Schizosaccharomyces pombe: one gene and its partners. The protein of the gene in region 2 interacts with the protein of the main gene of each other region in a biochemical or structural test. Each region holds a gene or a part of one and is shown on either strand. Other genes may lie near its edges.

The links. Proteins that work in one complex are often made in the same cells at the same time.
Region 1: the proteins of ank1 (region 2) and myo1 form a complex in vitro, tested with the Schizosaccharomyces pombe proteins (one study listed by BioGRID).
Region 3: the proteins of ank1 (region 2) and cam2 form a complex in vitro, tested with the Schizosaccharomyces pombe proteins (one study listed by BioGRID).

Annotation. Positions count from the first base shown.
Region 1 is NC_003423.3:1,023,463-1,030,576, forward strand, and holds myo1 (myosin I myo1), read right to left. Parts: upstream 4,512-7,114; 5' UTR 4,469-4,511; coding exon 4,466-4,468; intron 4,422-4,465; coding exon 771-4,421; 3' UTR 501-770; downstream 1-500. Other genes in the region: monooxygenase Coq6, read left to right, coding at 1-393; coatomer beta subunit Sec26, read right to left, coding at 5,654-7,114. UniProt on the Schizosaccharomyces pombe protein: Type-I myosin implicated in the organization of the actin cytoskeleton. Required for proper actin cytoskeleton polarization.
Region 2 is NC_003424.3:1,742,889-1,748,378, forward strand, and holds ank1 (ankyrin repeat-containing protein), read right to left. Parts: upstream 2,750-5,490; 5' UTR 2,710-2,749; coding exon 2,685-2,709; intron 2,632-2,684; coding exon 2,347-2,631; intron 2,131-2,346; exon of another isoform or gene 2,063-2,130; coding exon 1,860-2,062; 3' UTR 1,131-1,859; downstream 1-1,130. Other genes in the region: potassium ion/proton antiporter Kha1, read right to left, coding at 1-236, 411-490, 533-613; dal81 (transcription factor), read right to left, coding at 4,030-5,490.
Region 3 is NC_003424.3:5,136,814-5,140,765, forward strand, and holds cam2 (myosin I light chain Cam2), read right to left. Parts: upstream 1,341-3,952; 5' UTR 1,174-1,340; coding exon 742-1,173; 3' UTR 501-741; downstream 1-500. Other genes in the region: SPOM_SPAC29A4.06C (splicing protein), read left to right, coding at 1-463; pseudouridylate synthase Cbf5, read left to right, coding at 3,594-3,952. UniProt on the Schizosaccharomyces pombe protein: Plays a role in meiosis and sporulation.

The sequences.
Region 1 (7,114 bases), on a different chromosome or scaffold from region 2:
GGTTCTAGGGCGGCATTTCCGTTGAGACTTGCCCATGTTGATGAATATGTAAAAGAAGGAATTGCCCTTTGCGGGGACGCTGCTCATAACACTCATCCATTAGCTGGACAGGGATTAAATACTGGAATTCAGGATGTTGAATCTTTAATATCAGCACTCTCTTTTGCTATCAAGCACGGTCAGGATATTGGTAGTGTTTTTTCACTCCAACCGTATTTCCGTGACCGTTACTTCAAAAACCATGTTTATCTAGGAGTCGTTGATAAGTTCCACAAGCTGTACGCAATGGAAAATCCGGTGGTCACTTCTGTACGAACCCTTGGACTTTCATTATTTGATCGCAGTGCTAGCTTGAAAAACTTCATTCTTTCTACGGTAGCTAATGGAATTTAGTATTGTCGAAGTCTACTATACTATATTTACGTTTTACCACTGGAGCTGACTAATTTATTCAAACAATAAACAAGATAATGATTTTAATATTATTACAGAAGCTATCACTTTTGTCCCATTTATAAGTATACGCTATGCAATGTATCAACTATATTTCACAATTAAATTACTATTTAGCTTTGCTTAATCAAAGTCGTCGACGAAGAGTATTCTCAATCTATCACAATAAAACATGCAAGAAGCAAATACTAGAAGCTTTCATTGATAGCTAAAAAACATGCGATAGGAGAGACTATAGTTGTCACAAGCCATTCATTATTGCAAATTAAGAATCAAGCAATGTACTGGCCGTATTATATATACATCATAATGAAAGCTCACCAATCTTCTTCTTCATCACTACCACGCACAGCTGATGCTCGCATGCGCAAGGCATCAGCAAGTGAACCAGCTAAGTTGTTGACTTCAGCTGGACTAGCATTATTATTCGCTTGAGCTGCAACATTAGTCGAAGAAGCGGTGGTTTGAGGTGTAGAACCTTTGTATTCTGTCACATAGGTTGCGGGAACCCATCCTTCAGCACCATTCTTTAAAGCAAGCCACCACCCGCTTGGCTCCTTTTGAACAATTTCTATAATTTCGTCTTTCTTGATAGTCATTTCATTTGGACTGCGTCCCGCAAAGTCATATAAGGCCAAGTACAAGTCTTTCTTTTCGACTTCAGCGGGAGGAGGAGGAGGAGGAGGAGGAACAGCACTAGGCTTGCTGACGTTATTAGCAACTGGAGCAGAGGGTTTAGAGATATTGCTTGGAGAAGAAGCTGCAGAAGTTACCGTGGAAGGAGCTGGTTTAGAAGCAGAAACAGTGGTTGCTTGCTTAATAGTTGTAGTCGTACTTGTAACTGGGGCTGCAGCTTGAGTTGTATTAGGACGAGCTTGCATAGCAGGAGCAGGGGGACGATTTTGGGTTTGTTGAGCAGTACTTACGGGATTAGCCATAGGAGCAGGTTTGCTCTTCGCAGCCGGCATAGATACGGGCTTTGTAGCAGCAGGTTTGTTCTGCACAACTGGGCGAGGCCCTCTAGCAGCTGCTGTACTACCACCAGTTGCTAAGCGAGGGAAAGGCTTACTCTTACTGGTAGGAGGCAAGCCAGTACCAACATGAATAGTTCCACTCTTGTAGTAGTCATAATCCTTAGTGGTTTCGTCTTTTGCCGTCTTAACAGTTTGTACCTTGCCAGGCTTTCGGCAGTATTGAATGGTGGGACCCACGATAACTTGAATATTACGATTGATTCTCTTTAAGGTAGTTATAAATTCTGTTTTGAAAAAGCATCGCAAAAACATATCTCCATTTTGGCTGGACTTATTACGAATTGCAACCCAATCATCTTGCAAATTTGTAAGACCAACAGAATCGATGGAAGATACAGCGAACTTCTTCTCCACCTGTTGTGTGAGCTTTTGGTCAACAATTTTTGTAATCACCAAATATAAATTCTTTTTGGTAAGAACCAGTTGACGAGGAGAAGGTTTGGAAGTGCGGCCTAGCTTATGAACAAGGACCTCACATCTCATTGAGAAAATTACGTGATCGTTTTGAGAGAGGCCGCATGTGTTCCATAGAGTACCATTAGGCTTTGAAGCTGATAGATAATCTCCATAAAACTTACGGGATCCCAAAATACTATATCTTCTGCGTTGCTTTTTACCTTGCAAAAGTTTAGTACCCTCATTACGAACACGTTCAAGTTCCATGTTAACTTTGTTCCTATTCCACAACTTCTGAATACAAGCAGCAGCTTCAGATCTTCTTCTAACATAAGAACGCCAAGCACGTTGTATACGGGTTGCCATTGTATCCCAAAACTTATCACGCATGTCTTCGAGCGCGAATAAGGTCTCCGGATTTTTAATGAAAACTTTGCTAGTACCCATTTGGTATTCAGATGAAGGAATATTGGTATCTTTCAAAATCTGTTCGCAAGCAGACTTATCATCACCCTGCCAAGTGTATTCTCCTGCATAACTGGTTTTACCACTAAGAACTGCAAAACGCTGAGCAAACGTATCGAAAGCTTGACGATAAGCAAAACCAGCACGACGAATACGAATGTTTTCTTGCAAACCTAAATATTTGATTTGATGTAAAACCATCTGCTGATCGTAATCGTTAGGCGACTTAGTCTGATTGGGTTTAATCGTACGTATATACGATGGTTGACATTTCATAAGAGTCTCTACTAAATCATTAGCAGAAGTTTTGATACGATCACCAGCTGTAGGAGGACGACGACGGGAGTTACTCTCTTCAGCCACTGGGAAAATAGATTTCATGAACTCGTTGTTGGAAGAATGAATAAGGTTAAGAATATCAGTTGCTAACTGATCCTTATTCTTATCGGTCATTCCTGTAATGCTGTAGGTTACATCACCAGCGTAATGTTTGACTATAAATTGATTTTGTCTCTGTTCAAAATGTGGATTGGAGGATAAAAAGTTTAACCGCTGAGCAAAAGCACTATCCGCCGCAGCAGAGTCAGCATGAGCGGTAGCGATAGCGTCGTTCATTGCTGCGAAAAGACCAGGAGGTCGTTTGGATTCAATCAAATCACATACAACTTTATTGTTGAAATATTTGATAGGAGTCCAAGCAATTTGCTCACGCACGTATTCTTCCTGTTCAGTTTTCAAAGTAAGTTCTATAAAAATTTGTTGCAATTTTTCATTAACATAGTTAATGCACAATTGTTCAAAAGAGTTGTTTTCAAAGATTTCAAAGCCGTAAATATCTAAAATACCAATCGAATTGGAAACGCTGTTGTCTGATGTGACCAAAGCTTTGTTGACACGTTCGACAATCCAATCAAAAAGACAGTTATAAATCGCCATAGACAAAGCATCACGAACAGCCAAAGCTTGTGTTGGATTTAAGGGGACTTCATATACAGATCCGCGCCTTGCACCATGCTGAGTTTGCATAATACGAATTGTCAAGGCACGCTCAATAGCCGCAACAGGAACACCGATCAAATAGCCTAAAAATTCGGTGATGCTCTTGTCAGAAATCACGCTACCACCATCTTGGCCTTCTTGAAATTGAATATTTCCTAACCAAAGGATGATAGAAAGCATCCTAAATATTTCATCTTGCTCCGGCTCGGTGATACCAATAACCTTCATGGCGTTCATCGTTCCTTGGAAGTCCTTCTCATCTGAAATCCCATCAACCGACAAACATTGACAAGCAGAAGTGTAAACATAATTCTCCGGACCTTGAATGCCATATGTATCACGATATTTCTGAGGAGCGCTCTTGGTGAATTGATAGAAAATATGGAAATTACGCTCATTGCGAACTTGATTAACAATTCGGTTCTTTTCTAATAAGTAGTTCGTAATTTTAGCGCCGACAGGAACACCTCCGGAATTAAAAATCATTTCTAAATACTTTCCATGACGAGAAGAATTATTATTGCGAAGAGTTTTTGCACAACCAAAACTTTCCAATAAAGGATTGGTAGCTAAAATAATTTCGGAAACTCTTTCAATTTCAGTGCCAACGGACTTTGAAACATGTGTAATATATTGCATGATCCTTTTTGCAGCCTCAGTCTTACCAGCACCCGATTCACCAGAAATGATAATACATTGATTCTCATGATAAGACTTCATTTGATAGTAAGCGTTCTCAGCAATTGCATAAACGTGAGGGCTCGTTTCCAAACGGTTTTTTCCTTGATATGATTTCAAAATATCCATCGTATAAATACCCAGGTCTCGAAATGGATTTACAGAAATCAACACATGTCCAATATATGTATAAATCTCTCCATTGCGAAATCTCAGTTCCAAGTTTTTGTTAATTTCCTCATCTGTAATTTTCGAAAGTAGGGTTAAATCATCAACACCCACAGTCTTTTTGCGTGTGCTGGTATAAACAGCCTTTTTAATACCATTGCTTTTCCCAGTGCTATTGGGAGCAGCTGCAGTCGCAGCTTTCGCGCGGTTTGTTCTCTTAAGGATGGCCTAATTTATTAATTAGCTAACATTCGGCATGCATATTTACTTACCATAAAATCTATTCACTTATGGCCGAACAAGAGATAGGTTAACGACAAGTCCGCACTTACGTGTAGGTTTCTTCTAATACTGAGATAATTGCGTTACGGATCGTTAAAATGAGCGAAATATGAGTTTCTAGGTCAATATTGCCAAAGACCGTTCGAAACTTCAGACCCCAATTATTAAAATTGTACTTTAGCTGAAAATTGAATATACTTTAGCTTTCTGTCGTTTGCTTCATCCATTTTTGGTATTGACATTAAAACAATTACCTAGCCGAAAGAGGCTTGTTATGTAACATACTCGAACGAAACTTATCCAAATGTGTTTTAGGGTAACTTCATTAGGTAAGGTAACGAACACACTAAAGGTATGAAATTTGCGACTAATTATGATGAAGTGATAAACATAACGCGCTTGAATTAGTTAATACTTGATTTGATTATTGTGTGTTCATGTAGTCGATAAGATGAATTAAATGAACATGAATTTTCAATTATGAATATTTTAAGTCGAAGATACCTTTCATAAAGCGAGAAGTTTTGAAGTATTTTAGATATAACGGCTATCGCCGTTTCAAGAACCAAAGCAGCCGCAGATTATTATAACGCGACATAAAAGGTTGAATTCCCCAGCAAATACAACTGTAGTTCTCGTATTGACCTTGAGTATATTCTATGACAATTAACTTATTACAGATATTAGGATGTAACACAATATGAGAGAAGCTATATGATTTGCAGTAACTTAAACATAATCATCTGTTTATATCATTTATAAAAGAATACAAACAGTGATTTATAGACAACGTTTGTGAGTGCCATAATTAATTGAAATAACGGGGTTTATATATAATACCAAACTAAATGCACGAGATGAAAGCTAATCTACTTGCCTGTTACAGAGAAATACAAGGTACACAACTTTAGTAATGTCAGGATATCAAGTAGTGAGAACATGACAAGGCAGGCTCCTTTTAATTGCGAAATCGTAGAAATATCATAAGGAGCTAAATAAAGAACGGCAGGAAAGGTATTTACAACAAGAGTAATAAAACAGCGTATCAGATATCGATTTAGCGAAATATTAGACACATGATATACCTACTAAATCAGCATCCATAACAGCTTTCCCATTGTGAATTTAATCCATCAAGAAATTTAAAGAGTGGATAACATTCCTTATATAATTCTACTCTAAACAAATGCACCCAAGCTAAGGGCAATGCCTTGAGTTTTTGAACGAATGCGAACATGTCCTGAGATAGGACCGGAGACGGATTTTTCAACGCTAAGACTCATAAGTGCGTCTTCCCCAAAAATACTGCAGGCGTACAAATTAGCACTCAAAAAACCACAGTCACCACGCAGAGACGCGTCTGGAGTAAGACAGTTCATATTGGTTTTCTTCATTATTTTATGTAAGAAATCGTACAGACTAATGTCTTCGTTGGAAGAAATATCGACCTTGTTTTCCCATTCAAATTCCGTCCACATGCTACGGAATTGAGATTCGGGAATGAATGCGGGTTTTATATAATCAATAATGTTGACTGGAATGCCATTCAAAACAACAATTTTGTCTTCGTCGGATGCTTTACCACCATACACGATATTTCCAAAGATTACTGCAGACTCCGTTGAAGATACCTTTACCGTAGCCTGAACAGATTTAAAGGCATGAGGTCCTAAATTCATGGGTGGTGGACGCTCTACAACCTTAAGATCTCCCAACGTAGCCAAATCAACAGAGAGATTCTGTAACGTGGTATCCGTTCGATTAACCAATAATATGTCTAGAATAATATCAAATTGTTGTATCTTCACATATGCCTCACAGTAAACAGGATCTGTAAAACCGGCTAATTGTACGATATGATCTAATTTAGATGCCAAATCTTCCACTACCATACCATCGTTGGTGGCTTGTATGATGTCGGACTCAAAATTAAGATCCTGCTTTTCTTCAATGACCCTTTGAAATTGGCGAATATTCAGTAGCTCATCGGCTTGAACAGCATCACTTCCATTAACTAACAAATCTGCCTCCTTTTGTCGCTTGTCTGATTGAGCAACAAGTGATGAAAATGCTTTTCGCATATCATCAAGAAACACCGTTTGGAATTCAGGAAGCTCTTCAAAGGAATATATGGCCCTGATACAGTTCATAATACGCTCAACAGAGTCATCATCAATGGTATATTTTACAAACTTGGACTGACCCACTCGAATTATAGATGTCATAATAAGACATGCTTCAGCTTTGAGAGCGTTCAATCGTTCTTTGTCGAAAGAAAGTCGAGCAAAACGCATCACAAGCTTTGTAAGAGCAGAAGCTAAAACAGCAGCAAGATAGTAATCACCACTCAAAATCTGTGTGCGCAACGGTGGCTTTTTTGAAGCTTTGACAGCCTCCAAACGAGCAGCACTTAAAGCTTCACTAGTGACTGCACTCTCGGTAGCGTAGGTTCCATCAGGAAGGACCTTTCGACTTGTTGAAGCCGGAGCAGATATATCAATAAGCAAATCGTCCTCAGGTACATTGGAAACGTCTTTTAAAAGTTGCTCCTCTGACGCCAAAATTGGAACTTCTCCAAGGCTTGCTCTAATACTCTTCCACGCAACGCGTATATCGTCCTCAGTTAGACAGTACTCGCC
Region 2 (5,490 bases):
TTCCAGCTCCAGCCCCAAAAGGAATGACAATACTGAAGACCGTCACCAGAAGAGTCACTTTGTAATTTAAAACAAGGACACGAAGATCAACCTCCATTCCTATAACAAAAAGAAAGAGTACCAAACCAAGATTAGAAACCAAGTTAAGTGGACCCATAGAACTAGTTGGAAAAATGTAATCCAAAAACTTTGGAATCCTACCCATCACAGTAGGACCAAGCACAATTCCACCTATACTGTTGTTCTGTTAACAACTATAGAAACCAAAAAGTAGGTACAGGAAGCTTCTCTTTTTCGAGTGATAAGAAATACTGCCCTGATTGACAACTTTCTTATCGTGCCAATCTGAGAAATTATAAAACATCTATTAACTTTTTAAAAGCTTCTTTCTTACTTCCGATATCACTTACATCTCCGCAATTACTCTTGGCTGCTGTAGAAAAGACAGAGGAATATGAATCAGTCGACATAATGCAATAATAATGATTGCCTAAAGTTGTTATTATAAAATTTCCCATTAAATGAGACATACCTGTACGATGAACAAAAGCAATGGGTCCGATGCACTGTAGACAACGACATTATCGCCGTCAAATATGCTTTGCGTTGACATGCCTAACAGCGGATTAGTTGTTATATGAACAAACCGATTGATATTTGAAATATAGTCATTGATGCACCTACTGCTATATTCGATTATATGCGAGTTAAGATAACTTCAATCGACTTAAGTTTGCAATTTTTTATGAACCCTAACACACATTGCATATAGTAATGGCGAGGTGCTAGTTGCTTAGTGGTAAGTTTTTACAGCAATATACCCTCGTGTTTTTAGCGAATAAAAAATTGAGACTTATTAACATGCTATGAGTTTAATTTATTTTAGGTAATGTAAGTTGTGAGACACAAACGGAACCTTCAAATTTAAAAACTGACAAACACCGTCTTAGGGACGGCGAACTCGGGTACCAATTTTATAAGTGTAGCGGATTTACTAATAGAAAGCAGAAACCTATTGAATATTTTTTAATAAATGCAGTACTTTTTGATGAACCGTCATGGTTCCTTTCCTCTAATATGAGCGATTGTTAAAAGTACCCCACAAAACTTTCATATAAGATACTCGAAATTATTTAAACGTGTATAAATTTTATATTGCTTCTCTAAAAAATAAAAGAAAATTGAAAATATTAACATTAGCAGCATATCAGAAGAAACAAGAAAAAGTAATCTTTAGAATACGACACAAATCTGCAAGCAATTAAGGTATTACAGAAATCCATAAAAAATTCCAAATCCTAATTAATGCCAAATTTTCTAATACAGACTTGTTTATCGACACCCAAAAGAAAGTGTTACTTGTAACAACGATTTCGATTTTTTTCAATAAAGTATCGAGAAAAGCAGCATAATCGGAATGAATATGCTAACGTTTTAAAAAAACTATAGCATATTCATTGGATGAGGTTATAAAGGGCTAAAAGTTAACATACAGCCTACGGCCTGTGACGTTGTCAAAAGTTGCGCAGTGAAATTTTAAAGCCGCATTTAGGTATCTAAGGAGTAGAACACATCGTTCTCTGGAGCGTCTATGAAAGAATGAACAAACAACAAACATAATACTGGATTGCAGCTGAAAGGAAAGCTAAAGCGTCCAATGGAATTTCAATACACTGAGAAGCAGCCAAAATCATAACTTACAACTTTCGCAATTAAGGAGAAAGAAATCGAATAATCCCCAAGAATGACAAATATTTTATCGTTAATATAACCCACATCTCTTACAAAACGTGTATTTCTCAAAATCCAAACAGAAGAAGAACAACAGGGAAGCCGAATCAAGAATATCTAAAGGGGAACTATTCTTCATCCGACTCACCGGATCCTTCTTCTTCATCGTCATCGTCAGCAACGACATCTGCAGAATATTGAAGAGCAGGCGCAGGTCCTTCTAATGCAGAAGCAAAGACATCGTGAAAGTCTCCTGGAACAAGGTCAATTGGTCGAAAACCATCGTTGTTGGTAAGAAGCGGATCGGCACCAACCTCCATAAGCATCTCCACTATAATGAAACAATAGTTAGACAAATACACTCAACAAAGCAAACACTATAAACTATCCCGAAGCAAAATCGATGTTTGTGAAATAAGCGGAAGCAAAGTACAAAATTATGAGAAAGTAATATCAAAGAATTGTTTGAATTTTACATAATATAAGCGATCTTGCATACGTTGAATCATTCGTAAAACAACGTAGAAATACACAACTCGACTTTGACCATAACTTCCGAAAATAACAAAGAACACGAAAGCAATGATTAGCACTTCGGCTTGTAAATTCACTTACCCATACGTAAAGCAGTTTCCTGATCTTTTTTTATAAACATAACGGCAAAGTGTAAAGGTGTGTCCCCTGTCATACGACAGCGGTTATTCAAATTTACGCCAGATATATCTAAAAGCCAGTCAAGGCACTCTAGGGAACCATATTTTGTACAGACATGAACACAATCGTTTCCAAGTGAATCACGAGCATTATTGATGAAGCTCACTCCGTCTCCTTCCTGTTGGTGAACAACTTCCTCAAGCATGTCAACATTATTCGAGCGGCAAGCCGCAATTAACATTTCCGCTAAAAAATCGTTAGCAACTTGATACAGCCAATAAATCAAGCAGCGCTCTTACATGGCTTAGCTCCTTCAGTTGACATTCTCGTGACTATAGTGTATTATGTATTTGGTAAGTATGTTAGTTCTTCGGTCCGCTGAATGGATCTCTATATATAAGTGGGGGGCGTGGGGGACGGAAATGTTCGTCAGTTACGAATAAACAAAGCATATACTAAGAAACTGTTTAATCATTACTTCTCCAAATGGTATTGCAATTGATGAATTTAACAGTGGGTTTTCAAAATTTTGAGAACCTATGTTAACCTTTGCTTTGAGTTTATCAATGATTGCAATATGACCTAAATAAAGCAATGAATTAATAAAATTAGTACTTTAAGCACTTAAATTTATTTCTTTTATAACGAAAAACTGTCCTATAGTGACCAAACATTTAGTTCTCATATCCCGGATTATAACCGTTTGTATAACATATCTACGCATTCGACACAGCCAAAAGGCTTCTTCCTCTGAAAGAAAAATAAACAACATAAGTAAAATATATGCACAAAGCAATTGAACAGATGATCTTGGTACAAGTCAACTCTAATAATTTATACGGAATATTTGATAAGAAACTATAGAGTATGAAAAGATGAAAAAAACTGGTAAATAATTGTAATGAAGTAAAAATATGTAAGAATAAGCGTTTTCTGATGATCATTTTAAGAATATGGATTATTGTTATATACCTGTATTGCTTAGACTTCTAGTATCCACATCAAGAGTTTTCATATTTGTTCTTAAAAAATGGAATTCAAGCCTACTATTACTTTCATTCATCTTTTTAATAAACTTGTACGGATCTAATTATCATCATTATTTGAATCTACTCCGGCTAATTTAAGATACAAGATATTTAATTTTTCATATATTATATATATTCTATTAGACACCACTTCTCAACTAACTCCTGATGGTGTAGTTGGTTATCACACCCGGCTGTAATTTCGATGATACCGGTTGGTCGCTAGTTCGATTCTGGCTCAGGAGATCTTTTTTGCTTCCACCTGGTAAACTTTAAAATATAAATAAATATATGTTCAGATCTGATAAACCTTATTGTTGCAATCAATATCTCATTATAAAACGATAGGATGTTATCACTTCAATATTATCTTTCCATCCTTCGTGAATATTCCTAACTCACTTAAACTTTTCTATCAGATGTTTTTAATGAAGCCCTTTAATCAAATTAACAAGGATCCTAAACTACTTTATAAAATATAAGCAACTAGAGCTGACTAAAAAAATAATAATGTGTAGATATCCTTAATTAGGTAGGTATAGGCTCATAAGTATTCAATTAACAACTCTTAAAACCAAACAAAAAAAAAAGAATTAGAAAGGTCTAAACACTATCATTATGTCAGGGTTTCGTCCAAGTTACGCTTTCGATGTTCAAAGGTTTCTTGTAGAAGTTTGCCAATAAGTGGTCTACCTGAGCTTAATTCAATCAGCAACGCGTTTAATCGCTTATAAGCCATGAAAACCAAATCAAAATTTCGAAACTTCAGCCAGACACAATGCTTTGTGAAAGATGACAAAAGGCCAAAAGTCGTAGCATTAAAATTTTCATTAAACTCAAAGTCCAGATACATCTTAATGATTGCAGATGATAGGATACAAAAATAGAATTGGGAATACGGCCAGAAAAAATCAGTAAAATGGGATTCGTTAATGGCTAGAAAATGAGAAACACAACGTTGCACCACGTTCAACATTTCTTGCTGATATACTGCATCTGTCAGTTTAAGTTTCAATGCTGTTTTCCGTAATAACAACTCCAAGGCATCGATTTGTAAAAACAATGATAAAGATCCAGGTTGGTTCTCTCTTAAATTACAGCTACATGAAAATTCTTCCAGACTAATCAGATATTTTGATATCTTTTGAGCCACAGTACGCCGATTTTTCGACATTGTCATAACCGCTCGAGCGTTGAAAAGATGTTGTAATACATTTTGAAGCAAAATACTTAGTTCCGCCATTTTAACAAATACATTGAATGAGTCGGCAATCCTTTGCTCCCCAGCCAATAGCTGGTTGTCCGTTAATGGTGGTACTAAGTAGTCATCTTGACGAATGCTTGCATTGATCCCAATATACATCGAAAGCCATTTTTCGTTAACAAAAAGGGCCCACCACACTCGATTACGCAAGATTTTTTCTTCCTTTGGAATCTGCCATTCAGAGCAATCCAAATGGAACCCGAGAATTTGCGCTAAAGCAATCGCTCTAGTCAAAATGCTCCAGTTTCCAGCTACGTTAATCCATGGTCTTCCCGTTAAAAAAATAATCGCCGCTTGTAGCGTACTTAATCGAGAGAGAGAAAAGGAAAGATCCAAGAAATCCTCAGTAAGATCCCATAATTTTTTTGCATCCAAGCGAGGATAATTTCTTAACTCTTTATCCGCATCCCAATAAATAATTGAGGAAGCATACATCGCAGTTAAAAGGATAGGGGACAGTTTGTGTTTTGCCTTTTTGAAGGCGAGGAGAAATCTTTCGCCATGAATAACAGGGTATACGCGATGAATGTACCGGAAGTAAAGGCCAATCAATCGTTCGCCGACTTCTGGGGATACTGTGGCTTCAACCACTTGAAATATTTGCTGAAGTTTTTCATAACGAGCAATTTGTTTGTGCGGCTCATAAGCTGGATCAACCATGTACATAACTGGAGTTTTTGGGTTTGCAGAAACATAACGAATGTGCATATTACTAAATGTATAGGTTCCCTCTTTAGGTATAAAGTACTGCCTTATCAAATCGACGTCAGAATCAGATGTTGGGTTCAAAATATAAGCATATGACAAAGAATC
Region 3 (3,952 bases), 3.4 Mb from region 2:
AGGAGATGCTATGAAAGGACAAGATACTCTTGGTAGTGATAATTTAATCCTAGAGGCTAAAAAGAAAGGACTGAAATTGGAATTGAATGATAATAATGAGATAGTAGATCAACGTCAAATCTTGACTGCTGGACTGAATATTCGAAAATCATCTGCTAACAATTCAATGAGGGATGATAAGAAACGGAATCATAAGTCAAGCTATAAACGGTCACTTTCTCCATCGACTAGGTATCATCAAGATCGCCCAGATAAACGCCATGGGACATACTCACTAGAGGAAATTGACAAACAACGAAAAGAATTTGAAAATCGACAACGTCTCCAGAAAGAAAAGGAATTTCAAAAATCAAGAGAAGCTGCGTTAAAAATACACGCAAGTCGCAATACTACAGAAACTCAAGTACAATCTGCGCGAGAACGTTATTTGCAACGAAAAAAAAAAGCTGCTACGAACCCTTAAATCATCTTTTTAATGTTATGTATATTTATATTTAATCTAAACCTTTGTACATTATTTAGTCAATAGCATAACCTGCCTTCGTCGCAATTGTAATCAATAGGTAAAGGATGAATGAAACAGAAGCGGCAATACATGAAATGCCAAAAGAAAACAAAAGGCTCCTTTGATAAGTCGTCGATGCTCATAAAATCAACCATTTATTTCAAAATTCGCTCGAATTTTTTATATAAATATGCAATCAGATCGCTTCACGCAACGGAATTGAAAAGACAAGCAGTCTATTTTGCCATGATTCTCTGTACAAAGTCATAATAGTCAAAGCTTCCAGAATTAGTAGGATCGGCCTCTTGCACCATCAATTGTACTTCGTTATCTGAAAGCTTCTCACCTAACGTTTTCATATAATCGGCAAATTTAGCGGTTTCGATATAACCACTATTGTCCTTGTCGAAAACTCTAAATGCTTTTATATATTCTTCCTCTGATTCTGTTTCCCTTAATTTGTTGGAAACAAAGCTCATAAATTTTTTTTCATCAATGGCATCGCCTAATTCATTAGAAAGCTTTGCTAATTCGGCATCAGTAACATTGATTCCGAGACTTCTCAAAACGGAACCCACATGACTCGTAGGAATCAAACCGTCTTTGTCGATATCATAAAGGACAAATGCCTCTTTCATTTCATCGGTTTGTTCTTTGGAGGCAGGCATATTGTTTGCTCAAATAACGTAAACAAAAGCTAAAGCAGGCGATAAACGTGACAAGGAAATAGTTTTATAAAAAAAGGGAAATAGCTTGAATTCAAGAGCTATTATAAATCAAAGTTAAAGCACAGAAACAATGATTTTGTTTGAGGTAAATGATTTATGAAGTTGGTGGAGTCCATCTATCCTGTCAAACATCCTTTATTTGTTACCTCTCTCCACTAAAGTAACGGGTTTGCTGGACTGGTGCGGGCTAAGAATGCTATTAATGGATATATTTATATTCAGAGTATGTATTACCTTTATATACTAATATATATTCCCTTATTGAGTATTATCTTTATAAGACAATATGATTAAATAAATGTGTATAAATAAATGGCTGGCTCACAATAGCAAATGACTATAATCAACTTACATAATAAGATTATTTTTTCAACTAGGAAAACTCCACAAGAAGTAACTTTTTTAAATGGAAATCGGTTCCTTCTTTAATAATCTAAATGTTGAGTAACTTAGGTTTCAACGCTACCTTTTCTTCCTTGTCTGTGACAGTTGATACTTGAGCTATCCTCATAATTTTATTATATGATCTTAATTGGTAAAGTAACGTAACACATATTGTAATATGAAGGTACTATGAAAATGCTTTTGAAATAAAAGCGTCAAGTGCGAAAACGTAACACCGGCTACTTCAAACTCGAGGTTTTTCCTTTTATTATCTGTACTGGATTTTAGATTTCTCTTTCTCTTATGCTTTATGATACAACGTAGAAAAGCACATTTAATGCAGCGTAATATTTGTTCGCTGTATATTACTTTACGAAATCGAAGGAGTTAACTGTCTATGAGCTTCGCAAAATTCTTGTTTTGTTTACGTATTTGCGAAATTTAGATAAAAATTGAAGGAAACAAGTATTTTGAAACTCTTATGTTAATAAATCTTTATTTCATAAAATTCTGAAACTTGAAAAACTGCTCTGATTTTGTTAAAATTTTTGATATATTATAGCACTTTGGAAACTGTATCGACTTGCCTAAACATGAAGATCGATAAAGCCATATTTACTAATCAATTTGGAGTTCCTCTTCCATCTGACAATCCTTATGTTGCATTACACGATTTCGTGTATGATTTAGAAGTAGCCATTCCAGAAGACGAATTTGAAGCATTTAAAGAACAATTGGCAAATCCTAGAAATTCTTGCATGTGAAGTTCGGGAAAGCATAAGTAAAAAAGATAGTATATTTCAAACTTACGAAATGCTTCAAGAGCTTAAAGATGGTCAAAGTAGCCTCAGAGAAGATCTGAATCATCTTAGCCATGGTCAAAATGTTCTCAAAAAAAATATGGTTTATTTGAATGGAACATTTGAGTGCATTAGTAACGTTATTAGAGCCAATAACCAGATACTGATGCTAGAATTTGGAAAGTCGAATCGGAAGTAAACGAATTGAAAGTCTCAGCTCAAAGATCCGAAGAAATTCTCAATTATAAGTCTGCCAAACAAATGAATTCAAATTTATCTACCATATACAGGGTTCTCCCTCTGATAAAGATATTCCTGATGAATATCAGAAATTGCCTTAACTGAAAGCTATATCAAGGATTGTTGTGGTTTGTCACATTTTTGACGAGAATTATTTCATAAGGTTTATTTAAAAAGGAACTAGAAAGATTTGGATGAATTTGTTATGAAAAATAAAGCTTATGATTGTTTGTGGAACATCAATAAGGCACTTCAAAAGCACCGAATAACCTCAAAATCTAGCTCTTATCAATCTTAAAGGCAATTTTTTACTGTTTAAATCATCTTGAATATTTTCTTATATTTCCTTTCAACGATTTAGCATAGTTAATTATCATCACTCAACCAAATTTCTTTAGCATTATAAACAAGCCATTGCGAAGTGTGTTTTGTCCTTGGAATTTAATGGATTAACTGTTAGCATTTATTTTATTTTTTTCTAAATTTCTGAGTTTTCTTACTTTTGTTGTCTATAATGATCAAAACACAAGGTTTGAGTTAATATACTAATATTTTTCTTTTACCAATTTATACATTGTAATAAGATAGGTTGTAAGATTTAAAGCGAGCTTTTGATTTCAATTGAATACAAATTCGCCAAGCCGTTATAAATTTACATTTAAAGAAAACAGTTACATGGATTACTATCAATGAAATAGTAAAAAATACTCGATTGGAAAACTTGGCCTTTTGGAAAGCAATTTAATGCATTTTTTAATACATTTGCAAATAAGGATCAATAGCAAAATATAACGAATTTTAAAGATGCATAAGTATTCATCGCTAACTTTTGGTAGTCACGATAACTACTGGCGAAACAATTTTCTGACGCCCGCCAATATCGCTGGATCGAGGATTGTTCATTCACCTGCGTTCTGCGATTGTATTATTGAAAAAATGACGGACACTCATCCAGGAGTTGATTTTATGATCAAGCCTGAGGCTACTTCTGCTTCTAAAATTGATACCGCTGAGTGGCCATTGCTCTTGAAAAACTTTGACAAGTTGCTCGTTCGTACTGGTCATTATACACCTATTCCCTGTGGTAATAACCCTTTGAAACGTCCAATTGCGGAATATGTTTCTTCAGGTGTCATCAATTTAGACAAACCGGCTAATCCATCTTCTCATGAGGTTGTTGCCTGGGTTAAAAAAATTCTTCGTGTTGAAAAAACTGGTCACAGTGGAACTTTGGATCCCAAAGTTACCGGATGTTTGATCATTTGCAATGACAGAGCCACCCGTTTGGTCAAATC